7 linked regions of the Nothobranchius furzeri genome follow. The protein of the gene in region 2 interacts with the protein of the main gene of each other region in a pairwise test. Links are inferred from orthologs where the notes say so. Each region holds a gene or a part of one and is shown on either strand. Other genes may lie near its edges. The genes, in order: apip, ntaq1, capn3a, paraneoplastic antigen Ma1-like, gnmt, necab2 and ncoa5.

The links.
Region 1: the proteins of ntaq1 (region 2) and apip interact in binary tests that used the Homo sapiens proteins (3 or more experiments, as listed by UniProt). The two-hybrid records come from large-scale screens. The link is inferred for Nothobranchius furzeri from reciprocal best matches to the Homo sapiens genes NTAQ1 and APIP.
Region 3: the proteins of ntaq1 (region 2) and capn3a interact in binary tests that used the Homo sapiens proteins (3 or more experiments, as listed by UniProt). The two-hybrid records come from large-scale screens. The link is inferred for Nothobranchius furzeri from reciprocal best matches to the Homo sapiens genes NTAQ1 and CAPN3.
Region 4: the proteins of ntaq1 (region 2) and paraneoplastic antigen Ma1-like interact in binary tests that used the Homo sapiens proteins (3 or more experiments, as listed by UniProt). The two-hybrid records come from large-scale screens. The link is inferred for Nothobranchius furzeri from reciprocal best matches to the Homo sapiens genes NTAQ1 and PNMA1.
Region 5: the proteins of ntaq1 (region 2) and gnmt interact in binary tests that used the Homo sapiens proteins (3 or more experiments, as listed by UniProt). The two-hybrid records come from large-scale screens. The link is inferred for Nothobranchius furzeri from reciprocal best matches to the Homo sapiens genes NTAQ1 and GNMT.
Region 6: the proteins of ntaq1 (region 2) and necab2 interact in binary tests that used the Homo sapiens proteins (3 or more experiments, as listed by UniProt). The two-hybrid records come from large-scale screens. The link is inferred for Nothobranchius furzeri from reciprocal best matches to the Homo sapiens genes NTAQ1 and NECAB2.
Region 7: the proteins of ntaq1 (region 2) and ncoa5 interact in a two-hybrid assay, tested with the Homo sapiens proteins (3 studies listed by BioGRID and IntAct). The two-hybrid records come from large-scale screens. The link is inferred for Nothobranchius furzeri from reciprocal best matches to the Homo sapiens genes NTAQ1 and NCOA5.

The regions. Positions count from the first base shown.
Region 1 is NC_091749.1:48,967,922-48,971,989, forward strand, and holds the start of apip (methylthioribulose-1-phosphate dehydratase), read right to left. Parts: upstream 2,801-4,068; 5' UTR 2,677-2,800; intron 2,154-2,676; exon of another isoform or gene 2,060-2,153; intron 2,044-2,059; exon of another isoform or gene 1-2,043. UniProt on the Homo sapiens protein: Catalyzes the dehydration of methylthioribulose-1-phosphate (MTRu-1-P) into 2,3-diketo-5-methylthiopentyl-1-phosphate (DK-MTP-1-P).
Region 2 is NC_091759.1:9,346,619-9,350,169, reverse strand, and holds ntaq1 (protein N-terminal glutamine amidohydrolase), read right to left. Parts: upstream 2,196-3,551; 5' UTR 2,102-2,195; coding exon 2,037-2,101; intron 1,848-2,036; coding exon 1,748-1,847; intron 1,537-1,747; coding exon 1,486-1,536; intron 1,404-1,485; coding exon 1,255-1,403; intron 1,185-1,254; coding exon 1,060-1,184; intron 972-1,059; coding exon 829-971; 3' UTR 501-828; downstream 1-500. Other genes in the region: ribosome biogenesis protein bop1, read right to left, coding at 3,150-3,303, 3,390-3,497. UniProt on the Homo sapiens protein: Mediates the side-chain deamidation of N-terminal glutamine residues to glutamate, an important step in N-end rule pathway of protein degradation.
Region 3 is NC_091758.1:17,065,434-17,069,724, reverse strand, and holds the start of capn3a (calpain-3), read right to left. Parts: upstream 2,801-4,291; 5' UTR 2,668-2,800; coding exon 2,416-2,667; intron 2,167-2,415; coding exon 2,097-2,166; intron 1,581-2,096; coding exon 1,462-1,580; intron 1-1,461. UniProt on the Homo sapiens protein: Calcium-regulated non-lysosomal thiol-protease. Proteolytically cleaves CTBP1 at 'His-409'. Mediates, with UTP25, the proteasome-independent degradation of p53/TP53.
Region 4 is NC_091745.1:26,674,385-26,677,223, reverse strand, and holds paraneoplastic antigen Ma1-like, read left to right. Parts: upstream 1-1,421; coding exon 1,422-2,339; downstream 2,340-2,839.
Region 5 is NC_091758.1:37,143,877-37,148,160, forward strand, and holds the start of gnmt (glycine N-methyltransferase), read right to left. Parts: upstream 2,801-4,284; coding exon 2,592-2,800; intron 907-2,591; coding exon 779-906; intron 706-778; coding exon 592-705; intron 1-591. UniProt on the Homo sapiens protein: Catalyzes the methylation of glycine by using S-adenosylmethionine (AdoMet) to form N-methylglycine (sarcosine) with the concomitant production of S-adenosylhomocysteine (AdoHcy), a reaction regulated by the binding of 5-methyltetrahydrofolate.
Region 6 is NC_091744.1:83,491,762-83,495,703, reverse strand, and holds the start of necab2 (N-terminal EF-hand calcium-binding protein 2), read left to right. Parts: upstream 1-1,142; 5' UTR 1,143-1,260; coding exon 1,261-1,587; intron 1,588-3,942. UniProt on the Homo sapiens protein: May act as a signaling scaffold protein that senses intracellular calcium.
Region 7 is NC_091743.1:58,541,034-58,545,075, reverse strand, and holds the start of ncoa5 (nuclear receptor coactivator 5), read left to right. Parts: upstream 1-1,242; 5' UTR 1,243-1,355; intron 1,356-1,935; 5' UTR 1,936-1,993; intron 1,994-4,042. UniProt on the Homo sapiens protein: Nuclear receptor coregulator that can have both coactivator and corepressor functions.

The sequences.
Region 1 (4,068 bases), on a different chromosome or scaffold from region 2:
CAACGCTGTTAGCTGATTAATGTGCCGACAGCTCGTATAAAGACTAGCAGTTAGATTTTTCAGTTCACCGACAGTCAATAAAAAGAAGAAGAATTTTTTTTTTTTGGGCATCATGGCAGAAGCTGGAAGTAAATGTACAAGTAATGTGTTTTGAGGTGAAGCAAAGAGCTAAAACACATCCAAAAACATCTGATGGAACTGAGGGTGAATCAGTTTTAAATTGTTCATGAAACGCTAATGGCAAACACAGCCCATTAATGATGGACAAGCTGCTCAGCTGGACCAATTTGATTTGTGTTGCACTGAGTAGAGCTGTTGGAAAAAGTGTCATAAGTGATTACAGAGAAAACCACTAATACGATTACGAAACAAAAAATATTATTATTCTTAAAAACATGAAGAGGCTTACATAAATGTCCCCCTATGAAGAGAAACAGTCAAGTGTATAAGAGTTAAAGCTAGTCAACAAAACATGTAAAATGAGAACATTTTAAACGGACGGTTCCCTGAGTGGGACTAGCAGTAGGTCTGCACCATTTACAATCTGGCATACTTAGCTGTGCCAAGCAGCATGTAAATGGTGTGCCATTTAAAAGCCATTTGAATGGTGGCCTGCACAACCATTAAAACAAGTGTATCTTGATTAATTAATGTACAGTCAATGTTGCTTAATAAAAGTCAAAACTGGAAGAAATTAAAGGCCACACCATCAGAGAGCTTAACAAGGCATTATTTGGAGTCTTATTTACTGATATTTGGAATCATGTCTCTGAATGACTAATAGCAACGCAACTACCACTGACTATTTGCTCTGCATCATTGATGTTTTATCGTAACAAATAACTTAAAGGTATAGCAATCGATGTTTCTGAATTTTAGGAAAGAACCGCCCTCTCCACATTGCACAACACTCTCCCAGCACCTGTTTATAAGTAGCTGCCGGCTGTAATGTGTAATAAGAGGCTCTAAAAATAGCATGCAGAACGTTAGCTTGCCTCTCGAGCAGAAAAACCGGCAACAGCGGCGTCTGTGGGGAGCAGACTGGACCGCGTTAGCCTCTTCCTGATTTCCATGAGAGTGAGGGGGTGCACAGAGTACGCATGCGCAGGACGTGAAAACTAACCTAGGATTGGCTTCAAAAGAAATTGACATTTTTGCGGACCAATGGTTGACGTGATTCAACCAGGAAAAATTGATTGCTATACCTTTAAGGCTGAAGGTGTTCTGCTGGATAATGGAGTTGCTAATGCTAAAGGTTAGCATTTACTAGTCAGGACATTCTGTTTCTTGGACGCTAAGCCAACAACAGCCTTCCCCTTTGAAACTCAAGTTGGGTGACTTTATGAATGGTAAGTGACAGTGTGATCCAGATCTGTCACAATTTTCAAATCCTAGAGTTTCTAGAAGCTAATGGAAGACATGGGTGTAGGAAACTATTTTCATGTTCAGCCTGCATGAAAAATGCAGTGTGTCTGATTATAATCAGAAATAATAAATAGTGTGTTCCACATTTTTAATATTGACTGGCTTTTTATCCAGTCAGAGAAGAATATGACCATAAACTTGGCTAACAAGCTCCTGGCATGGTGAGCCTGCATTGCAGAGGAAGTTTTCACAAAGATCTACTTTGCATACGATGCCAGTTTCCACAGAAAAGACTTTGAGCATAACGGTGGAAAAACGCTACTTGTCAGAACAGACACTTTTGGATGAGCAGTCAAATGCCACAAATCCAATATGCAAATGTTTAGCTCCTGAATATATGATCAATTAATCTTTTTACATTGTATATGTTATCATGTTGCTCAGTTTCACCACTAGTTGTGTCCAGTGATTTTAATGTTTAATTAAAATTAAAAATTAAATAAACATGGTATTTTCTCCCAGACAGGATACAGCAGATTAGTTCTATACCTATTCCTTCAATTTCAGTTCCTAGAATGAACATCCAGATGTAAATAAATTAGCCTTAGAATACATGCAACTGTGTGAAATTCAATAAACTAGAAAATTAAATAGAACTCAGTTTCACAAGTCACACCAGCTTTCCTCATTATACCTGCTGCAACAACTTGGGAAATAGATGATGATGAGGATGATAAATGACCCACACTTGTATAGCGCCTTTCAGAGCCAGGGGACTCCAAAGCGCTTTACACTACAGTCTCATTCACCCATTCACACACACCTTCACAAATAAGGATCGTAACTAATAGTTACCATATTCACTAGATCCTAGATTATTCATAAACCGATCAATATAGAGCCGTTATCTCTGGTATAGCCCTACAGAAACAAAGACGAGGTATGTGCGCGCAGTTTACTGACAGTGCTTCTACGTAAACATGACGCTAGTTTTACACAGGGAGAATAAACAAATGGCTATTTATGATGCACATTTCACATATATTTAGCTCCAAATACGCCTTTATTGCCCAAACTCATGCTTGGACACATTTGAACATTTAAGATGTAGACTGTGTGAGTTTGCTAGCATGGAAAATGTTTATGGTACATTTTATTAAAGGCGACGTAAGCTTTGTGCTAACGGCTAACGCTAACATGCAACTGTTCAGTTCGTGTCACAAACCCAATTTCTACATGGACTGACAACAGCAGAATCCAAACCGCGGTCCACGTGGCAAAGATAACCAATAACAGAACACGGAAACTTACTGAAATTAAGGTATTAAATCACTGTTGAACAAAACAACATAAACAGCCAACGTCGCGGCTGATTTTAAGTCATCAACGTGCGTCAACAAAAACGTGCCTGGTCGAGGTGGGCGTGTCGGTCGCCAAAGACGATAAAATCTAATGAATATTCTCTTGTTTCATTCTGTGAAGATGAAACCATTACAAAAGGTGAATCTATGTGGACCAGAAACGGTTCCTGAGGGACTTCAGCATGGATCATCTCATTTAGCAAAGTTTGACTGGAACATGAGAGTTAGGGCTGCCAACTTTTTCACAGCAATTAAATAAGGGACATTTTTTGGTATTTGGAAAAACTCCAATACAAAAACAGAACACAATCTTAGAAGGATAATCTCAAGAGTTTTATGTAAATATGCAGCTTGAATGGAAACATGCATGAATATCATACTGGGGAAACAGTAAAAGTAAAACAGTAAAAGGTTCGAAATTATGTATACATTTCAACATTAGGCAGTAGTATTGTTGTGAATCCTTACAGAAATTGAACTTCATAAACCTGAACACAATCACAGCTTGAACATTTATAGCAAACATATATAACGAATATATTCCAAATCATATCAGGCAACAGATTTCATGACACAAAGTGTATTATTTCCATGGATATTTTTTGTTGCTCCTGACTAACATTTCACTTCCTCACTCAGAGAAAAGTCCTTGCAGGACAGGTCACAATTCACAGTAATTAGAAGTTGATTTTTGATCAGTTCAGTGCTGCATCTGTTTCTGGAGTCCGAACATTTTTAGTTATAACAGAGAAGATTCTCTCAACAGAACTCAGAGCTTTATCTAAATATGCAGCTTGCACGGAAACACGCATGATACTGATGAAACTGTTCAAATCATGTATACATTTCAACATTTAAGCAGTAGTATTGTAGTGTATCCTTAAAGAAACTGAACTAATAAACCTGAACCGAAATCATTACAGCTTTATAGGAGTTAAACTGATTCCAAATGATATGAGGCAATTGATGTCATGACTCAACACCTAGTTTTTCCATGGATATTTTTTTTTTTGCTCCTGACTGACTCAAGCATTTTTTTGTCATTTTGCACAGCCAGAGAAAAGTCCTTGCATGACAGGTCACAGTTTACAGTTATTAGAAGCTCATTTTTGATCAGTTCGCTGCATCTGTTTCTGGAGTCTGACCATTTATTAGTCATAACAGAGAAGATCCTTTCAACAAAAGCATTTGAGCCTGGCACACTGAGAACAAATGAGACAGTCTTGAACAGGTTGTTCAGGTTGGCTTTGCCTGTATTCTGTGGAACGGAATGAATTGACTGTTTTTTTTCCCTCCTCTGCACAGGACTAGTCTGCATGAGATATGGTCTCATGCATTCGCT
Region 2 (3,551 bases):
TCCAGAGCCGCTGGTTGCCGACCCCCGTCCTGGTCAGAGTTGTTGTTGTCGCTCATGTTTGTTCTAAAGAGATGTGCATTTCTCAAAGGGACAAAGAACTCAAAAGAAAATAATCTTAAAGATTGTTTGATTGATAAAATAAAACAGGTTGCTTACTTTATCTGGATGTTGCTGTCCTGAGCTTCTTCCAGAAAAGAATTTGAAACCAAACATGCCTGATCCTCCTGTTTAAACCAGTGTCCTAACCACTCCTGCCATACTGAACACAAACATATGACAGGTGAAAGTGATTGCACAAGTTCCACCAGTCATCTATAACGGTAAATAGAACTTATACCCAAACACAAATCTGCTGTTAACTAGAATCTGCATAATTTCACCAAGTTTTAATTGTTAAAATATTCTGGAAACCAAGATTCAAATTGACACCAAAAGTTACAATTATACATTTAATTTTTATTCTATCATTGCGCTACAGAGACAGAGAATCCAACGCGATCAAAGATTAAATAAAATCTTTTTATTTCTCAGGAACTCAGGTGAAATCAAGGTGCTGATGCTCAAAGTTCTCACAGGCGTGTGTGATGAAGGATCACTTCAGTTTCCAGATGAATCTGTGACATGGCTGAAGCGCTGTCGTCGTCATGTTTCTGGTTTCCTCTGAGCTTCAGAGGCCAAGGTGAAACTCAAGAGAGGTCAAACGAGATGCAGCTCAGCCCAAAACATAAAGTTCAGTTCAATGTTTGTCTCAGTCTCTCAATCATTTCAGATTAAATGTTCATAATAACATAAAAGCTAATCACAAAACAGCAGCTGCCAGGATGCTGATCAGGATTGAGCTGATGATGAAGATGAAGAGGTGGTGGAGGAGCAACCTAAGTATTTCTGTAGAAACTGATTCAGACTGAAAACTGTCCCCCAGCCAACAGCTGGGCTCATGCTGATGAAGTCATCCAGGTTCATCTGACACCCTGAAGAGGAAATGCACCAAAAGTACAAAATCACCTTTTCCTAAGACAGGAATCAGAAAACATGCTCCACATTAACTTGATTTGTTACCAGTGGTCTTTAAAGGGGGGTAAGAGGGAGGGGGCTTCTTCCAGCTCCCATCAGGGTTCTTCATGTGAGTTCGATCAGACGCAAAGTTCAAGAGGAAGCTCTCAGCAGGAATCACACGCAACTTCCTGTCACAGATATGAGAAGGTGTTGGTGATTTCACTCCAGTGCATTACCTGTGTAATTCAGCAGTGCTACCTGTGATATTCAGGTTTGATGTGGTGGTCTGAGCGGAGGGCCTGGCTGCCATAAAGCCTCAGATTGCATGGGAATGACAGCTCTGTGTCCAGATCATAAACCAGAACCTCCGACTGAGGATCCACATGAAGCAGGATCACATGGTAGTCCTAAAACACCCAAAAAAACATGATTAACAATGTATTATTTTAATGCTCTGAGGCCACTTTAACAGGAAGGAGAATCATAGACCCAGATCACTGGATGGTCAGCGTGTCCAGACTTCTGCTTCCACAGAGGAACCTGAAGGAGAACAAATAACATCACTGATCAGCAGCAGCAGCAGAAGTCAGATCTTAGTGAAAATGTTGATTCTTTATACAAACTTGGCAAATTTAAGGGGATTCGTGATGATTTGTTAAACTTTAGACCTGTTGAGACTAAATCTGTTGAGTTAAATATGTTTAAAGGGTTTTGTAACACATGACAAACTTCTCAGAGCTGATCTTCTCACCATTCTGTTGTCATTAGAGATGAAAACCACAAAGAGCTGTTCCAGTGGAGCAGTCCTCGCTGTTTGAACAAACTCACACAACTTCCACACATTCTCCTCACTGCAAAGCAAATTAAGACATCACTAATCAAACAGCAAAAATAATCTAATAATAATAAAATCATATCCATAAGAATGTAGCAGCTACCATTTAAGCCAACTGCGTTTTGCTACAAAATTTGATGAATAATTATGTAAAACCCAACAAACTGGAGTTTTTTTTAATCATGATGTAACAGAATGGATTTACCAGTAACAGCTGGTGTAAACACAGAACTCACGACTCGGTGTGATTCGATCCTTTACTGCCTTCATGGTTCGGTGTTACACCGAAACCGCTCCGACGGTGTCACTTCGAAATGTGTCCCCATGGTTGAAAACTCTTGTCACATCAACTTCATTATAAAGAAAATTGTTTGTTTTTTGCTACAAAATTTGACGAATAATTATGTAAAACCCAACAAACTGAAGTTTTTTTCATGATGTAACAGAATGGATTTACCAGTAACAGAACTCGCGGTTCGGTGTTACACCGAAACCGCTCCGACGGTGTCACTTCGAAATGTGTCCCCATGGTTGAAAACTCTTGTCACACCAACTTCATTATAAAGAAAATTGTTTGTAGTAAATATTCTAAGAACATTTTGCAGACCCTGGTACCCGAATATTTTCGTTAAACATAGTTCCCGCTTGTGTTCAGCACAACTGATACATAAAGAAAGCTGATATTCTTAGAGATTTTATTCTTAAGAGAGGCCTTTAACCTGGTTAAACAACAGATACAACAAATATTCCCAGGCCTGCGCAGTCGTGCATTTACATGGTTATTACAAATACTTTTACTATTAGAAACAAGCTTTGTACAAAATACCCAAAAACTTGGTTCAAGTTAAAAATATCCATAATGATGAAATTTGAAGCACAAATACTTTATATTTGGGATAGTCCTAATTTCTGCCTCTGGCAACAAAACAAACAAACAAAAAAAAAAAACCTTTAGAGCTGTAATTATGTTGATAATTTTAGATAATTTTATTTCCTTTTTGAAAGCTGTAATAAATGGTCTTGTTTTTCAAAAAGGTAACCGCAACACAAACTCCTTTAAAATGAAGGCAGACAAATAAAACTACATTTTGTAGGTTTTAAAAAAAGAATCAATAATTCTCCTAGTTTTAACATACAGAGACAAATTGTAAGAACAATATATTTTATTGAAAACAATAAAATACATTTTATTGAAAACAATAAAATAAACTACAGAAAACAAAACAAAAAAAAAAGAAGAAGGTATCCTGGTAATCAGTCCATTAGGGAGGTCAGACTCCTCCCACACACACACAGAGCTGCTGCTGGTTAAAACACTTTAGGTGAAGAGCCGGATGGTGGCGTCAGCTCCTGAGGAAAAGACCCACGGCTGAGTGGGGTGAAAGATCACGTCCAGAACACCAAGATCGTGGGTGATCACATGACCTCTGAGAACTTTTACAGGTACTATCAGCGGGTTCTGAAGCAGGTCGCTGGAAGAGACGGCGGCAAGTTTTAATATCCTGTCTTTTATAAGTCTTGTTATGAATAGATTTTCAGGGTGTGTTTGTGGTCTTACTTGTAAACAGTCCCGTGACAGACGATCACCGATCCATCATCAGACGCCGAGGCAAACAGAGGGTAACCTCTGTGATAGGCCACACCCCTCACTGCTTTCTTATGGTGTCTGAAGGAAAGAAGTGATCAAAAAGCTTTATTAGAACTGGCACAATGACAAAGA
Region 3 (4,291 bases), on a different chromosome or scaffold from region 2:
ACGAACAGCACAAGATGAAAAGACATGAGCTATTATATATGACATCAAGAAAGTGGAGACAGGAAGTGGTTGAATTCTGGTAAAATATATCTGCACAATCTACCAGAAATAAAATCTGAATAACAATACACATCCTCACCCTCAAGTCCCAGCAGTTAAGAGACAGATAAATAGTTTTAAAACAGAAGTCGACCCTATTAGTGGGTCGTAAGAGACAGATCAGGTTCAAATCAAACGCCTACTTCTTTGTCCGTATGGATCAACTGTGACAAATCTAGGAAATATGAGTTAAGCTCGCAATGCACAGGTGCGGTGGAATTAATTCTCTGAAAGATCATAAAGTAAGATCTCGCTTTGTTTAAAGGTGGTTTATAATATCGCAACCAATACTGCACTTTGTTAAAGTTAGACTAGAACTTCCAATACACTAGGCGTTGAGCAACATAAGTTAGTGTCATCAGCATATTGTTGAACCGAGCACATAGTACAACATGTAAGCAAATTATTAATAACAATTTTAAAAAAGGCCCCAGAATTGATCCTTGCGGAACACCCCTGAGAAAACAAACTGATGGCGATTGTGGAAAAACTGAGTTAAACCATTTTATAGCAAAGTACAGAGGCCCTGGATAACCCAGGAAAAGAGAGTTTGTCCAGGCGAAAGTAGTAATCAACCAGTGCAAATGCTTTGGTAAGATCTAGAAAAATAGCACCCGTAGCCCGGCTGCTTTCAAAACCAGAGAATATTTGTGAGTTTCAACAAAGCAGCACACAGCAGTAGCTCAGGAGGTAGAGCGGGTTGTTCAGTCATCGGAAGGTTGCAGGTTCAACCCCAGCTCTGACCAGATAATTCTGCTGTTGTGTCCTTGGGCAAGACATTTAACCCGCTTAGCCTGCTGGTGGTGGTCGGAGGGACTGGTGGCGCCTGTGCTCGGCGGCCTTGCCTCTGTCAGTGCGCCCCAGAGCAACTGTAGCTACATCGTAGCTCGTCCCCACCAGCGTGTGAATGTGTGTGTGAATGGGTGAATGCCTGACTGTGTTGTGAAGCACCTTGGGGGGTTGTAGAACCCAAAGAAGGTGCTATACAAATACAGGCCATTTACCATTTACCAAAGCAGTAGTGGAAAAAAGCGTTCTGAATCCAGATTGTAAATGTCTCATTTTTACAGTTATTATTGGATACGTTATAAATAACTGAGAGGGGGTGAAGCTAGAACATCAAAAGCTATTTTGATCAATTTATTCCCATAGCCATCTGGACCAGGCACATTACAAGAGGAACGTGCATTTGTTGACTTTAAATATTTTGAGAAAGGAAAATCTTGAGCAGCGCCGAGCAGCAGGGGCCAGGACATCTTTATTTACACTGATCCTTAGCTGAACGCTTTTTACCTCCATGGGTTTTAGGAAACTATTTATGAAAATGATCAGGGACAACAGTAAGAGATGAGCACTTTGCACCTGGAAGTGGAAGAGTCCAGCGTAGTTCTCTGAGAAGCTCTGCTCCTGAGGAACAACTCGAAACAGAAGCTTCTCATTGAGCGTCAGGCAGGCGATAGCAGCCAGCAGCCAACAGTCACCTAAACGGGAAAGAATTCAACCATTTCAGTGCTTTCAGTCTGAAAATCTCCAACTGGTCCTCTTAATGTGGCTGTAAGGACTCAGATGTGTTCCTTGGTCCTTTTCTAATAACGAGGGAAATCTTGGGACTATTTAGTGGTGTAGAAGATAAAAGCTGCTGCTGACGCTGCATGTGTCCAGGTGTGTGACAGGCTGCTCTGAGCAATGTAAGTCTTTCAACAGAGTACGGTTAACAGTGTTGTCCAGGACCTTTGTCCTGTCAGTCCCTTTGAGCCAAACAACAAAGAGAAGTGCTGCTGGTTGGAATCCCGTCTAAAAGAGTTAGCACAATATCAGGAGGCCGAGTGCAGGGGACGGACGCCGGTGCCAACCTACTTTAGTTGGCCACCTCATCCCTCACTTCACCTCCCTTTATCACCTAAAACAATCCTACCTGATTGTCACAGTTAATGAAAAAAAATGGTTTTCTGTAGAAATCAATCTGAAGATCTGATGTCTGATTAAAACAAACTTACCCAGATCTCCCTGACAGATGTCCGTCCTACTGGCTCCTCCTACAATGAACTGAGGATTCTCACAGATTTCCTGTAGGAGACGTAAACAAGCATGAATCCAGACTGCTCATGAGGCTTTAAGGTAAACTTTAGTCAAAATATAGTCAACTAGAACGATTCCTGGCTTTCCCTTCCAATCATCCAGTGCAGGATGAACAAGTATTCCAGCTCCAGCTTCTTTTATCACAAATGCCGGTTTTGAAGCTGTGCATCAACACTAGTCATTCATTCTCTCTTTAGTTAACTCCGTGATCAACATATCCCTTCATTACCCCCCTACCTTGGGTCTCTTCCAGACGATGTTCTTGACCTTGTTGGACTTGTGTCCCAGCTCCTTGAAGCCCAGAGATTCCACGGTGGCTGGGAAGGAGTCATCCTCAAACAGACCCTTCCTCTGCAGGCACTCCTGCCTCAGCGCGTTGTAGTCCTGACCGTTAAAGCGGACGGGTTTGCTCACAGAACCTTCCCCGTCTCTCCTTTCTCGTTCCCGGATCAGCCGGTCACAGAAAAAGCCAGACGGTGTGTATGGCATCTTTTCTCGAGGATTTTTTGGGGGGGAAAGTCTGGCGTTGACCACCTGTGTGAAAGTCTTACAAGCCAAAAGACTCTGGCATAAATCCAAACAGCTAATATCTGATTGGTTCCTTCTTCAGGTGACATCCCCCTCCCCTTCGTCACAGAGTAAATGTCACACGCACGCAAACGCATGTACAGATGCATAAAAGCTCACAGATCACGGTGTGCGTTTAGAGCATTCCCATTGGCTGATGGAACAAAGGTGTGTCCCTGCCTGTGCTCTGGTGCCATCATTGTTGGGTGACACAAAGGCCAGCGGGCTACACCAGAGGGCGTGTAAAGAGAGGTCAGAGGAAGTCCTGCCTCAGCAGAAGGCATTCAAGCCCTTTAAACCTGTTCTCAATGGAGCTCAGCGTCGAGCAGTCTCAGCATAACGGGAGCAGGCTGACGCTACGGGAGGAGGAACGTTCCTTTTAACTACAAATCCGGGCAAGTGTAAGACAGGTGATCACTACCTGTCTGAGAATGGACTACCAGAGAAATGAAAGCTTTGAATGATTTTTATTGGAATAAAACACACTTCAGTTCTTTTTTCCATCATTAAAAAAACAACACCGGTTAAAAGCACCAACAAATAAATTCCCAGCAGTCCACGCAGAGAACTACCTTTCATGTCTCAGGTAGAAAAACAATGGAGGTTCAGTTGTTGTGGTCGAGGTAACACGATCTCACTCAAAATCACACATCAGATCCACAAAAGCAACAGCTTTTTATGTTTGCTAATGTTGCTTAGCTGGGGTGGCCATCTTGATTCTGACTGGTTCCAAACATTAATCAGCTGTAGACGACCATCTGGTTAAGAGCCTGTGTGAGTTTCATTAAAATCCATCCAGTTTAACAGAGGAATAAAAGTCTGGGTGAGTCCTCCCTCCACAGCCAGGTGAGACGCTACATCACCTGCTTTTCAACATCTGACCAAAACATCAAGAGCAGTGGTTCCCAAAGTTAGGGGTGGGACCCCATTTTAGGTCACCAAAATCAACTCAGGAGGTCTTGAGATGATGTCCAGAAATCGCTGAAGCTATATTTCTGGCATAATTGTTACAAGAACTCAACTAAAGTGTCATAAATTGATATAAGTGAACAAGAGCTAGAGTGGTTTTGCTTACTTCCTGAATTATTTAGCTTTTTAAGCATGTTTCTCTTGTCTAATCAGATGAATCTGGGGTCACATGTCTTCATAGCTATTTTGTGGGTCTGAAGCTGGAAAGTTTGGGAACCACTGATCTAAAGCTCCATCATTAACAACATCCTAGTTTTAACTGAGTGGGTCATCTGACTTTTTTTACATCTAAAATCTACTTTTTCTTGTTTTTTTTCTGTCTTTGTCATGTTCTGTGTCCTTTTGGTCCCCAGCCCCCTCCAGTTCGCCCTCCAGGTTCCCCCCTAGTCACTTCATACTTAGTTATCCCATCCCAGTAGTTTTAGTCTCCCCATTGATTCCCCCTCCTTTGGTTCCTGTCTCTTTAGTTCCCCAAGCTGAAGATTTAATGTTTGTTCTGGTGTCTAGTTTCAGGTTTGTTAATTCTCTGTATAGTTATATTATCCAGTCAGTTTCTCCCTTTAATACAATGTGTTCC
Region 4 (2,839 bases), on a different chromosome or scaffold from region 2:
GGTGAGTACAATTAGATGTGTTTTTGTAATTGAAATGTCTTTTTTACACTACAGTTACAAGGTCACAACACACAGATTAATCAAAAGATAAGGCAGAGAAGGAAACAAAGGGGTGTGCAAGTGTATGTGTGCAGATGTACATGTGTAGCCTGGTCTCAAATATCTATTCTAGACCCTACAGGTTAAAAGGATATAAATATTGTGTAAAGCCTTTATTGTAAATATTTCATATATTTGAAAAAACAAGGAGTTCAAATGGTTAAAAATGTGTTTAAAATCACAATAAATAGAAGTCAATCATAATTTGAGTGTTCATGGAGTTATAAGTAACAATGAAACTAAAGGTTTATCTAATGTGAAACAAGGAAAACTTTGTATTGTTTCAAGTTGTTTTACAAGTTCATTTTGGGTTGTCAATCTTGTATTTTCTTTTATCCCATTGGTTGATGTAAACCTACTGTCCAATCAGACGTAAGGGAGGCGGGAGCTAAGTGAGGCAAAAGAAAGAAAAAACAGCGAAGCTAGTGAGAGTCGGCAGCAGCACGTTGCGGGAGGAGGTTGTGTACCAGAGCTAATGGAAGAATAGTGAAATAATAGCCGTGGATGCAGAGTCTACGTTCCTGTTATGGACTGTTTTACCCTGTGATGAGTGAGTACTGAATGTGGAGTTAGCATTGAGCTTAAACGGAATGTATAAGTACTTAAAATGTATGGTGCTAATCGCGAGTTAGCATGTTAGCATTTTAGAGCCTGTAATAGCTATGTATGTCGAGTACGTAAGATACAGCTTATTCTGTGGAACTAAATAGTAATCTCTAATGCACAGTGGACCGAGAGGAATTCTCTGGACTCTTCTGCTGTGGATAGGAGTTCTGTGTGGTTGTTCCAGTGTACTCAGCAGCCCGGGTATGCCGCTAATTCCGACCACCTTGCCGAGTGGAGGCCGCATGGTCACCAACCAAGACTGCCCCTCCGTTTGCCTTGCACTTAGCCCAAAGGATTCATGAGTAGACCTGAGCACGTGTGTTTTGTTTTCTGCTGGTTATCAAGTGAAGCGGCCATTTGTTTGTTTTCTGGCCCAACGAGCCCAAGCAACGATCAGGCCTGCAACGGTTTCAGTGAATGAGCTCACAAAGGTTAAAACTGGTTAGTCATTGTTTCTCCTGTTTACCAATAAGATTAGTTAATGTACCCAGGGCCCCGCTCATAGTACTATCACCATCTTAACCGAGGGTTAATCCAGAGCTACTTGAGTTGGGTGCTACACATTTGGAGGCACCGCTGGGATTGTTGTTGTTTTATCTACATTTTAAGTTACCACTAAATCTGCTGTAACCTTAAAGTAACTAAGAGTAACACTGGTCCTAAAAAGCAACTTCAATTAATCTTTTTTTTCCCCCTACAAAGTAACTTGTTAAACTATGGCCACTAAAAGTGATGTCTCACAACCGAATCTTGCAAATTGGTGCAGAGGTGAAGGGCTCGATCAGGCACATGCCATTCTAGTTGTCGGAGTGCCTGAAGAGGAGGACCTATCCACAGTAGAAGAAACACTCGAACAAGTAAAAACCTTGGGCAAGGTAAGAGTAAGAGGAAAAATGTTTGATGCCAATAATCAAACCCTGACCATGTTATGTGAATGCTGTGAAGCAGTCGATCCTACCAAAGTTCCGCCAGAGTTGATTTCCTTTAAGGATGGAAGTAAATGGACAATAGTTGTTGCAGAGCAAGAAACGAACTCCGACCTATTCACAGAGAAGTTGGACAGATTTCTGCGTGATGAAGGGAAAACAATGGAGGATGTTCAAAGACTATGTGATCCTAGAACTCCATGGAACAGCAGCCCTGAGTCAATCATTCGGGTGGTAGGTGATGTGTTGCAGTCCAAGCCAAATGAAAGCAATTTATACCGTCGTTTTAGAATCTTCTCAGGAGTCTACCCTACTCCACCTGGTGAAGACAACTTGGATAGCTGGCTAGAACAAGTAAAGTTCATGACTGATGAGTATGAGTGCTCAGATAAGGAGAAACGCCGAAGAATTATTGAGAGTCTCAAAGGGCCAGCGCTGGAGATCATTCAAGCAGTGCGCATGTCTAATCCCCTGGCAAACCATGTGGACTGCATACAGGCATTGGAAAGTACCTTTGGTACCGCAGAATCCGGTGAGGAACTGTATCTCACATTCAGAGCTATGCATCAAAGACAAGGGGAGTGCTTGTCTAACTTCTTGCTGAGACTGGAAAGATTACTGAACAAAGTCGTGCAAAAAGGAGGCCTACAAGTAGATGAAGCCAACCGAGCAAGGCTTGAGCAACTCATTAAAGGTGCTACTGAATAAGACTTCATGCTGCTTCATCTAGGTCTTAGAGGTAAGCGAAGTGATCCCCCGACATTTTTAAGTCTACTGAAAGAAATTCGAGAAGAAGAGGAGCGTGAAGCTGCAAGACAAAAACTGAAAAAACCAGCACAGAGACAGCACGTGCATGCAGTGCAAGTAGCAAGTGAAACAGACTCCAGAGATTGTCAGCAACATGAGTTTCAGTCCGAAATTCAAGTGCTAAAAGAAAAGCTGAAAGAGCTCAGTAAGCAGTCTCATTCTACAGAGTCAAGCCACAAAAAGATGTCCAGAGAAAAGAAAAAAGAGAAATCAGACACAAGCAGCGAAGTGCAACAGTTAAGAAAAGAAGTCAAAGAGCTGAAAACACAGTTAAGTGTCATGTCGGTAACGCCACAACATTATGCAAAAGAGAGAGGGCACTATTCTAAGTTCAAAGCGGACTTCAGTCCAAAGTCATCTACCTTTAAGCCAAAGAGTAGTAAAGAGTCAGATAATTTCTG
Region 5 (4,284 bases), on a different chromosome or scaffold from region 2:
AGGACGTGCTGAGGAGCGCGGTGAAGGACGTACGCCGGATTATCCGGGCATGGAAGACGCCAGCATCAGGAAAAGCTTTTGGTAGTACGCCAGCGAGCTTCTGCTTAGCGTTACTAATGCTGACACAAGCTAGCTCTGGAAAGTCCAGAAGCCACACGGGAAGATCTGACTTTCACTTCAGACTTCAGGTACCAGACCAGATCTGGTTTGGGTTTAATGAAAACTTTATTACTTTTAATAAAGTTTAATAACAACTCCAGTGTAGAGGTCGCCGTATCGTAATTTCTGAACTGGATCTAGTTTAATAAAATGTTAACTTGTCCTCTTCATGAACCTTCAACGACATTTAAATAAACTTGTTTCACAATCTCACACCAGTCCAGGTTCATCTGAATGCAATTAGCTCGCCAAAGAGGCGCTGCTTTCTTCTTAAACACGATGTTAAGTTGGGTTGTGGTCATCTATAGAAGACGTGTCTCGATAGAAAAAAGGATCTGAGCTCTGGTTTATGGAGGAGACCTCCAGATGTTTGGAGTCCCTCAGTCTGGTAACCTGAAACGTTCTACTGTTAGATTTCCTTTGTTCGTCTACCTTTGAAGTCCGGTAGGTGAGCAAACGAGTTTCCGAGGCAGATGACGGCATCAAACCCATCTCCTGGTTTCTGAACATCTTCAGGCAACGTCAGCCAGTTGGCCTCTTCGATTACTGTTGATGGAGAAGGGAGGAGAACATGAGGTCCGATGAGGTTTAGATGTTTTCTAAAGGAGGTTTTTCTTACCCCACTGATCGAATGCTGCCTCTTTCCTTCTGTCCCATCTGGCCTTCAGAGCGTATTTGAGCATTTTATCGCTGGCGTCCACGCTGACCATGTTAAAGCCCTCCTCCACCAACATGATGGAGTCGACCCTGCAAAACAAACACAAGCTCTTTTAACACACACGCAATGACTTGTCTGCAAAACAAGTCAGGATAAAATGACTGATGTGGCTTTCAAAGTAAAAGCAGACTTCCAGGTTAAAATAACTGCTGAGTAGCGTTTTCTTTTTATTATTTATAAAATCAGATGAATAAACTGTCTTGATATTTATCATCTTCCTACAGGCGATCCTGCAGATCTCCTCGATCCAAACCCGTGTCCGTCTTCGTGGGAAGCTTTTCAGAACGGATTTGGTACCGGTGTTTTAGGAGGGAATGTCTACCAGGTAAAAATAGACAACCAATAACCAGAGACCAGTTGTTCTAAAAAAACCTGGAAGAGGAACCTGAACCAAGGCCAAACGGAGAACAGGAACATGTTTCATCAGAACCGGGACCAGGAAGAGCTCAGTCCAATGATTAACAACCCCGGGCCCAAAGCAGGACTAAACTAAACCAGAGTTCTCCGTTTGTAATCTGTAACCATTCAGAGAAGAAATCCAAACGGAATCAAAGCTGAAATTTAACAGAAAAGCTGCAGCGGTTCTGTTTGGGTTCTAACAGCTGGAGCGCCAGTTATTCAGACTGATAAAAATGGCAAACACACTCGTGTTTACACGGCTCCGTCCTGCTGATCAGACAGAAACTCCACTATGGATTGTGCTTGAGGACGGGTTGCTGGTTCACTTCCTCTGAGCGTGTGACATGAGATAAGCTGCAGGATGTTTACTAGAAGGATTTTAATAAGAAAATGACTGGAGTGGTTCTGGTTTCAGCTGTAGGTCCATTTCTGTCAGGAAAAAACTAATCCCGAGTCTGTGGCCTTGACATTGACCCACACTGATAAACTATCAGAAGCAACGAACAGGCTGCACAGAACCAGCCACAACTCCTGCAAACTGCCCAACACCTGCTCCAGAAGACAGTCAGTCTGGTTTCTGGACCTGAGCGGACCAGGACCCACAGCTGCAACTTTCACTCATTATTCTCAGCACTAATCCGGATTGAGTCCAGCGTCAGGAGGGTCAGCGAGTTCAAACTCCACAAAAGTCAAACCTGTAACAAAACATCTATTTGTTCTGCAGCAACAGTCTGGAATCACACACGGCCCACGCACCACACTTTGGACCACCGAGAATCCTCATTGTGTGAGCAGCCTGAAACTCAAAAGTCTGATTTATTTTGTCCCTGAATGCATCTCTGCGAGCAGCAAAGAAATTCCGACCTATTCCCGGTTCATGACCCGATTATTGCTAAGTGCTAATTTATGCTAGCAGTAAAAGATTTTCATGTTTAAGTTTTTAATCATAGAAACTAAATTTTTAAGTTCATCTCAAACATATTTAGAGAAAAGTCGGTATCGGCCAATCTGAGCTGTACAGAAATGGGTTTTTGGTTGATATCTACTCTCAAAAGCAGAATCGATGCATCTTTAGGAGACTTTTAAGGAAATCCTTCAGGAGTTTCCTTCTCAGACTTCAGTAAAAACACGATTACTACACGATGACTTGTGATTTTTAATAAAGGGTTCCGCAGGATTATTCATACCCGGAACCACGGCCACACCTGTAATCAACCTGCCAGTGCATGTCAGACTTCATACCTGTACCTGACTAAGCATTAAATCAGATTATTCTGTGGGTGGATGATCGAGTGCGAATCTGGAGGAACATTACCCGGTTCCGCAAGCGACGTCCAGAACCCTCCGAACCCCGTGCTGGCGGAGCAGAGACACCAGCCAGCTCTTGTACTCCTGGGTTCGGCTCTGGGTGTCTCCGATGTACAGCTCCCACACTTTGGCTGCTTTCCCGTCGGCGTACTGGTCCGGAAGACCCTCGGCAGCCACACCGAGAGACCGGGTGCGAAACACGCTGTCTACCGACATACTGCCGCTGGTTCCGGTCGGGTTGGTACCTGTTCGTTTACTCGGGTTGAGGCGTTCTGGTTCCTACAGACTTGCTAACTGGCTGGCGCTCCACATGCTAACCCGGATTCCTGTTGTTGTTTTATACAAACGGCGCTGCCAGCAGACTGTAAGCCAATCACGCGCCGCGGCGGAAACACGCCTACTCTCTGATTGGATGAACCCAAGCAACCACGCCCTCCCCCTGCCGGTTTACGTCAGCAGCGTGGCTAACGTCTAACAGGAACGTTTCCGTGGTTTAGCCTTACAGGATTGTTGTCAGGTGAAAACTTTATTAATCTCAGTTTCTGTTTCTAATCTTGTTTAAAATCACAATAATATGATAAAATGTTGTATTCACAATAAGCTACAGTTATTTTGAAGATAACCGGAAGAGACGTGCGTCACGAGAGCTGAACGTGACCGTGTTTGAGGTTATAGAGAAATAACTACACGTAAAAACATATCTGACAAAGTCACTTGTTAATAATTATGGTTTTAATTTTTTCATACCTGCTTTATCGGGCTTATGTTAAACAAACGCACACTGAAAACACTTCGATTCTAGTTTACTAATCTAAATAACCCGCTTTTAATGTTTTACACCCACTTTATGCTCACGAGGAAGTTATGAGATCTAATAAAAATGTGAAATTAATTTTGTTTATTGTAATAATCTACATAATAATGTGTACATGTAACCACCAGTCATTGGGGTTGCTTAAGGTAAAAAAAAACATGAAAAAATCTGAGGTTAACACGTGATTCCAAGAGCTCATAAATGCTGAAGACGCACGTCTGCGTGCTGACGTCCCTTTGTGACGTCATCAAGCTGACGTCCCTTTGTGACGCAGCTATAAATAGCGCGCTAGCACCACCTTTGTCAGTCAGTCAAGCTGAGCTTTGCTGGAAGGATGCGTGGACACGGTAACCTCTTAACGACCCGTACAGCCATGTTTGCTGTTACTGGGTTCGTAGCAGGTGCTCTAATTACTAAAGCGGTTCGAAGTGCTTATGAATATTTTTATGGAGACTCAGAAAAAGAGGATTTATCCTCTGTAGAACAACCAGAGTCTGATTTTAATAGCCCTGGACTCAAAAAACCAACTTCTCTTTGCTTAAACGTCGAACCATCGGTTATAGATGATGAAGGGATGAATTCTCTCTCTCTGAAAGCAAACAGAATTGATGTTGAATATTTTTATGGAGAAATAGAAGACGGTTCATCCACTTTGTGGAAACCTGAGTCTGAATTTATCGCTACTGGACCCGAAATAGCAACTAGTCTACTCAGAGACGTGGAACCATCGGTTTTCCACGAAGAGAAGGATTCTGGTTCCCACACAAGCCTCTCTGTGGCCCACGAACCACGGACTGAAAAACCATTTTCTGATTTCACGTCAGATCACATAACTACGTCAGATTTGGATGTGTGTGAATTTAGAGAATCTGGCTCAAAATTTCCC
Region 6 (3,942 bases), on a different chromosome or scaffold from region 2:
GCTTAGAGACGAGTCCGCAGGCAGCCACACCCCTAACCCCCACCGCTCTCCCAATGGGGAGGGCCGGCAATTCGTAAGAATGCCAGGGCCGAATTTTGGTCCCAGTCCACCCCTGCTCATTACTCCACTTCCAACAACCAGCGCAATTTACGTTCCAGTAGCTTCATCTCTAAAGTTATTCCCAAAGCTCGCACCTCCTCTGGCCGCTCCTCATTCCAGTTTGCTGCTTCCAACGACTGGAATGCGCTGCAAAAAAATCACTGAAGTTCACACGATCCATTATCTACCTTCAATAATTCATGGGGATCAATAGTTTCTGATCAATGTGCTTCTGAGTACTTAAAGACAGTTTTAAATCTGTTTCGACTGATTTTACACATTATATATGAGAACAATCCTAACTGTTTTATCAGAATTTTATCTCACCTGTTTTGTCTGTGGTGTAAAGCTAACTGCTGCTGCTTCCTCTTGGCCAGATCGTCGTTGTAAAGGAGAATGAGTTTTCAATCCACTCATCCATTTAAATAAAGGTTAAAATTTAAAAAATGTAGGTGATTAATGTGGTTTAATTCATTTGTTCAGTAGCAAGAAAACTCCTCTTGCCACTGCACGCTCAGTTCCACATGGGGGCAATCATGTCAAGTGACTGGGTTTTAGTTTCCTGCTGTCATGGGGCCGCTGAGATATATAGATCTATTTGTCTTTTTACTCACTTCACAGCCTTTCAGTTATTTTGTCAACTTCCCAGCATGTCTTAATTTGTCCAAACCAGCTGCTTGGTGCTGTTGGACATGTGGCGGACTGAAGAAAAGTCTCTCCAGCAGCCGGAAAGGGCTGGGCTGGGGAGCCTCTCATTACTAAAGGTTAGATCTGTCACATCACACATGCACATAAAGCTCTAATGAGCAGCTGGAGTGACAGTTCAGGGGACTCCTTTTGCTAAAGCCCTCTGATCCTCCCTTTGGGATGCAGCACTTCCTGCGGTCTAAAGGAAGAGCATCTTTGTTCAGATTACACACTAAACCTTAAAGGGGGAAGAAACAGCTTTTGTGTTGCTTTTTCCCAGAGGAGCGATGCACGTCCAAAGGCTTCATCCTTAGATGCACCAAACAGAAGTGTTTAAGTCATAATTCAGATGCTACTGGGTACAGGATGGATGCGGGTGCTTCTGGGGTGGATGCTGTGATGTAAGAGGAGGTGGGGGTGGGAGCGCCTCTCTCTCCCCCATAGAGCGCAGCATGAGCGCTCCGCAGCAAAAGGATGTGTGAGCAGGCAGCGCGCTACTGTAGGGACGGAGTCCACAAACTGCTGAACAAAGAACAAGCCAAACTTCGAGCCCAGGAGAGCCGAGAGCAGCCGAACCCCGTAGCCGGTCAGGACAGCGAGTCCGCGACGGCAGCGCAGTCCGGAAACAGCGGCGCCCAGCCCGGTGGAATCGACGGGCTCGTCCGCTGGATCGTCACCAAAATGAGCGACAACAAGAACGTCTCCAGCCGGGAGTACGCCTCCAGCAAGGAGGAGGTGGCCGTGGCCCAGGAGCAGTTCTTCGCCCCCGAGCCGCGGAGAGGCATCTCGGTGATTCTGGATGTGAGTATGAGGCACCGGGAGGCGGCCAGCCCCGCCAGGAGCGGGTGGGTGCATGGAGACATCCAGGGAGCGGTGCGCACTTACGCACAGACAGTTTAGGTGTCCGGGATCAAACCGGCGTCCCTCTCCTCTGCATCTGCACCATATCAGAAAATTCAAACTTTGCACGTTTTAACTGTCAGTCCACATAAATCCTGAGGCTCTCCAACTGCGCTGCAGACATGTTCCTGTGTTAACCTTCAGAGTGATAACTGCGTGCCTGTAGCATTTCTGGTGTTCAGGTCAGCCCAGTTTTATTTTACTGTGCTTTAAAACGAGTTGATCTCAGTAGAAAAAAAGAAAAGAAACGTAGAAACACGTTGTGTAGACCTCCCCCCCCCCCCCCCAACTTGTTATAAATTAAGATTTTTCAAACGTTTTTTTTTCTTTTTTCCTCTCTATCATACCATACCACTTTATTTGTAGAACGCTCTTAACACGGCACTACAACCGACCAAAGCGCTGGACATAAAGACAAATAAATAAAAAACAAGCTAAAATAGTCGTGCATATCATAAGAAGTAAAAAGGATAAGAGTTAAAGAACAACAAACTAAAGCCAATAAAACAAGTAAAACCAGAATATAAAAACACAAATTTTAACTACCTGGCAGCTAAAACTGTTTCCAGCTGAGTCTCTGACACCAGCCTTTGAACTTTTTCTGACATTTTCTTCTTTCTGCATAACTTTGACCTTTCAAACGTGAATTTTCTGGCCCCTTTCCAGCATATCTGACCCCAATATTCTTACTTTACACCAAATGGGCTTCCTGGTGTGTCCCTGAATGCAGCATTTCCCTCATTAGACCGACTTGTTCTCCTTCTCTGAGTCTACCGTGAACCCATTTATTATTCCGTCTCCTCTCTTCCAACAGAAGCATATTCCTAAGGTGAAGGCATGCCTCCTCTTTGTGTCTTTCTCTTTAGTCGTGTTTTTTTTGTCTCTTTCTGTTGTAACTCTTCACCATCACCTCCTCCTCCTCCTCAGTGAGACTCTTTCCCTCCTTCCCAAGCTTCCCTGACTCCAGCAGCTCCAGCTCTGTTCTGAGAAGCTGAACATGGCCCAGGGTGCAGATGCAGAGCAGCTTTTCAATTGGAGTGCGGCTCTTTCAGCTCCTGTTGCCCTTTATTTAAGAGTTTAGTCACAAAAATGTCTTGATGAGTTTCTGTGCAATAATTTAGCTGACTAAACTAAAAAAAAAAGTTTTTGGGTCGTCACGATCTGTTTGCCCATTAACTTCTGACTTTGGTCACTACTGTTAACATTCATCTTATTCAGAAGATCATGTCTTTGAAAAGCACATTTTTTTTTAGATTTCCTGTAATCTGACTAATCCAACCAGACCAAATTCAAAATATGTGACTAAAGATCACATCCTCTCGTTTTATTCTACAAATATCTTCTTTAATATTGTTTTAAAATGCATCTCATGATCACTCAGCACGTCTTGTCCTGCCGGTGGCTCGTGTGTCACTCATCCTCAACCTCCATGATGAAAGTATTCTAAAACGTTGAAGGTCCTCGGAGGGGGGAGCTTTCCCTAAAATGATTCAGATTCACTCCCAGCTTGTTCAGCTGCAGCTGTGGTTGGTTCGGTTTGGTGTGGTAAGCTAACTCCGGTCCAGCTGTGTGGGATTCAGTCTGATCCGTTACCAGTTATTCACCAGCTGGTTTCTGTTTTCCCAGCATGACTCTTCTGTCAGCTGGAAGGAGGTTTATGACACAAACATTCACTATTTTATAGGTTTCCCTCCTTAAACTCCTGAAAACGGGAATCTATGGGTTCCATAGAGGTTTTTATTTTTAATTTTCTGCTTAAATTATTTCTTGGAGGCAAGAATAATAAGTAGTTTCCACTGGTGAGAAACAACATTATTTTAGTGACCCAAACAAGAAAGAAGAAACCCCAAAAGTAAGCCCTGAGGGACACCTTGAAAAACAATTACACTAAAGCTAATTTAAATTATTAATAAATGTTTAAAGAAATTACAGATTTGTGAAATAATCCAGTGTTTAGGTGTTAACATTTATTAGATGAGGCTGTTTTCAGACACACAATGCTTCAATTTAACTCTTTAGGCTTGAAATATGAAAAACTAACGATTGAAAATACTGAGTTTAAAACTAAATAAAACAATAAGATATGGTGTTACTTTAAGAAATACAACAAGATTAAGAAATAGTGCTTGATGTGTCTCAGGTTAGGACTTCATACCTGGTGGGTTACTGGTTCAAACTGGTTTGATCAAGTACTTTTGTGAATAAAAATTCATATTTCTGTACTAAGTTGTTGCAGAAAATCTATAGGAACTCACA
Region 7 (4,042 bases), on a different chromosome or scaffold from region 2:
TCTCAAAATTCCAAAAGAAGAAAATAAAAACACAAGTAAGTTGAAGAAGAAGAAGAAGAAGCATACATTAAATTAGCTGGCACATGAGTGCACATGAGCAAATTTTACATTCCCAAAACATAAATTGCACACATTATTACAAAAACAGCAAGACAAGATGTTTTAAAAGAGTTGATATTACTGCTGATCCTCTGGGTCCTTACCGAGGAGCAGAAGTCCAACCGACGAAAGATAGCAGCTCTACTGATACGAACATGCCCAAGAAGTATATCATCCATAGTAAAAGTTAAATATAAACTGTTAAAGTCAAAGTTCATGTAGATGAACCTTTTTATTTTAAGTTGCACCAGAGCACAGCCATTGTCATGGTATTGGGTGAGTGGCTTCTAACCAGTTCCTCAAAGTGTATCTCTGCAAAGGTGCAGTGGTACGCCTTCACTCTGTTGGGTGATTGGTATTGTAAAATTGATATTGCTGGTCACCAAGATGCAAGGATGTTTCAGCTCAGTGGTCTAGTGGTATGAGTGCCTTGGGATTGGGAGATTGGGGTTTAAATCCCGGCCGAGTAAAAGACTTGATGCTTTCTTGCTTGACACTCAGCAATAAGGGTTGGAATGGGGGTTAACGCCACCAATTGATTTCAAAGTATTTTATAAATTACTCTGTGGAATGGGACCAGAATGCATGTTGGATCTCCATCAGGTATACCAGCTCTGACATTATGAAGTAGTCAGCTGGTAGAGCCTCAGGACAGAACAAAACAGGGTGAACTTGTTTCTTGCTACTATACACACAGATGTAATCAGCTTCCTCGTGAGCTCAAATGTGCCACAACTCTAGTAACTAATCAAAATTGAAAACCTTCATGTTTTCATCAGCTTTTGAATGACTGTTCTTATGCTGAACATTCTGCATTATATTTGCTTACCCTTTAATCTTTTAAATTGCATTTTCTGACACGTTTATTTTAATGTTCTTGCTATCCTCGCTAAGCAATTGCCTCTGTGGCTGAAATGCGTTATATAAATAAAGCTGCTTTGTTAAACACAGATAAATACATAGATTTATTAAGTTTTAGTTGTTGAGTAGTTTGTATAAGTTATGACGTTCTGCCCCTTAGACTAACTATGCCGTTAAAAATTGGAATTTTCTAAGCGGTATATTTAATTTTGAAGGAATCTACAGAAAAAGCTACCCAAATCAGCAAGCCTGTTATTTGTAGTTCGTTGGAGATTACAAGCGCGGCACACTCGCGCATGCGCAATACACAGAATAGACGGCGTAGTCGGGGAAGACGGCTAGCCATTTTGGCGTCAATACAGCAAATCGAAATATAAATTATTTGCTCGTCGAAGGTAAGTGGAGAGCTGTACAGTCGATTATAAAGTAAATAATGGTCTTAGCGATTCATATAGCTGGTACAGCAATTTTAATATTAAAGTTGTTTGGTTTTAACCTCCTTGTATCCGTGTAAGTAACTAGCTAGCAGGCTAATGCTAGGCTACACGAGGTTAAGGCGCATTTTCGTAAATATAAACACAAACGTGGATGAATCTGCAAGAAGCAGCAAATGGGATGTTGTTATGTTGTTCCGTGGTATCGATTAAAATGTAAATGTAGTTATTTGTCTTATCTCTGTTCATGGCGCACGTGAAACGCCATTTGCTACACACACTACCACGGACATGAACGGAGGCCATTAACCGGCCCTATCTCCTGGTTTCAGTGGGTTGATGAAAATTGTTTGAATTACTTCTGTGTCGTAATTTTATAAGATGTAGATTAATTAAATTTAGAACTCGAGTTCATACACAGATTGATATAATTTACAGAGTTTATAGAAATATCCAGAAATAAGCAAAGTTAACGTTAGTTTTCTCTTCTTGCCCACATTTAAGTTTTGTTCCCCCCTTTTCTTTCTCTTTCTGCTGATAGGCATTTGGACCATTAAACCATCGGGCACTGAATACAGATCATCTGCCTTCAAGTTAAGGTATGGTTAGGGTCTGTACCCTATAAATACATACATAAATAATTAACTTAATGTTATTTTTTGGAATATTCTTTTAGTTGTGCTGTATGGATGTTTTGACTGAAAATATCCAACAATTTATTTTAAAAGCATTTCTAATTGCGTTTTACATACCTTCGGAATAAAATATTTCCTGAGTTTGAGCAACAAGAATTTGTGATCTTGTTGATCTTAAACTTCTCGCTTCATTTTGACAAACTCGCCTGCGCTGGAGTGGACTCTGCCGTTTCAAGAGAAGAGGATCTTTTAAACAAATGTCTATTCTTTGCGTTTCAATTGAAGTGAGTCCAACAAACGAGTAAAAAATTTTCATCGGCTGAATACATTTTCACTAACTTAATAAACTTGTGAGGTATGGTGTTCTAGGGCTGCTCGATTATGGCAAAAATTATGATCACGATTATTTTGATTGAAATTGAGATCTCGATTATTTAAGACAATGTTTAAATTAATGTTGGTTTTTATTCTGTCATAAAATTGCACAGGGCACAATCAGGACAAAAATAAACAAGAAAAAGAAAGAAACAAGATGATCACAAAAACAAATCCTGATTCCTAGTATAAAAAGGCTAATGCACTTGCATGTAGTTTATGATCCAAAGAGTTTAGGCTGAGGTTTAACTCATTTAAGGGAGACCCAAATACTCAACCCAGGGTTTCCCTTACATAGGCGTAGCCCGTGGCGGCCCGCCACGGCTGAAATCCCACCGCCACGCCTACAAGATCCCAAGTTTTTTTTTTTTTTGCACTGTTTCCCAAAGAAGCAGCGGGAACTACTATGTCGTCGCTTGTGATCACAGCCGGTGGGCAGCAAGGAGCAGGCAGGGCTAGGTGAAGTTACAGCATAAGTTACTGAGTTTAAAATTAGAAAGGTAGCAGTGGATATAATGCTTTTTGGTTTACATGTTTCAGTAGCATTAAGATAAACAAGTGTTGACGATCTTGACAGGGTTTCCTCCAGTGCTTATTATGCCAGGTTCTCCTCCCCCCACCAGGTTAAGCATCACTTATTCATGTAAAATTTATTTATTTTTTCATGTCTGACTTTAACCGCATCTAATACTGTATTACGGCGTGAGCTCAACAGCGACAACTTAAGATCGATGTGTGAGCAGCGTGAGAGGTCGGGTGTTTTCATCTGAACCCTTACAACCTCCAGCAGGCTACGCTGCACTATTGACGTGTTAGCGCACGGCGCTAACAACTTAGCGACGTGACATGTCTCTGAGAAAGCGTAAAAACACGTTGGACGCTTCTTCTGAAGCGGGAAAATAACACTTCTTCTTAAGCAGAGCACGACGTCGCCTCGGCTCGTTCACAGCCGAGCCGGACTGAGCTCGATAACATTGACCCAGCACAGCCACTGGGTCGTTGGAGCTGCCCCGTGACTGCCTGATGGAAAACCAGCAGGTTTTATCAGACTCGTAAAGTTTATTGTTTTTGCTGGGGACCCCCTGTATTTTACCGCTCCCTCCTGCAGTCTTCCCCTATTAAAATTTAAAATGATTCTGTAAATTCCGTGTATCAATAGAAAAAATATCTGCCTCTGCCAGCTGCAGTAAATGTAGTCTCCAAATAATAAATAAGAGGTGCATTCGTCTGTGGATCTCCTTTGATCCGCATGAGTGATATTCTCAGCACCAGAACAGTGAAGCAAAGAAAGATTCCCGAGTTTGTTAGTAATTTTATTTATTAGGTGCATCTAACCTGTTCTATTTTTCTCTGAAATGAGATCAAATCAGTGCTTCTATGGGTTGTCTCCACTCTGCACTGGAAAATTTTTACTTTATTTAGAGACTACACTGCAACCAATATGTTGCAAACGATGACAGGAAGAATTATACAGTGCATTTATAATATAAAATAAATGAAAACATACAAACATCAATATTTTAGTGAAGTTCACAAATTTGCATAATTTAATTCTCTCCAGCAGTGCTGTAGGAGTGTGGCAACGTGTCGCTCAGAGATATAAATTATTATTTCAGTGTGAGGAACTTTATCTATTTC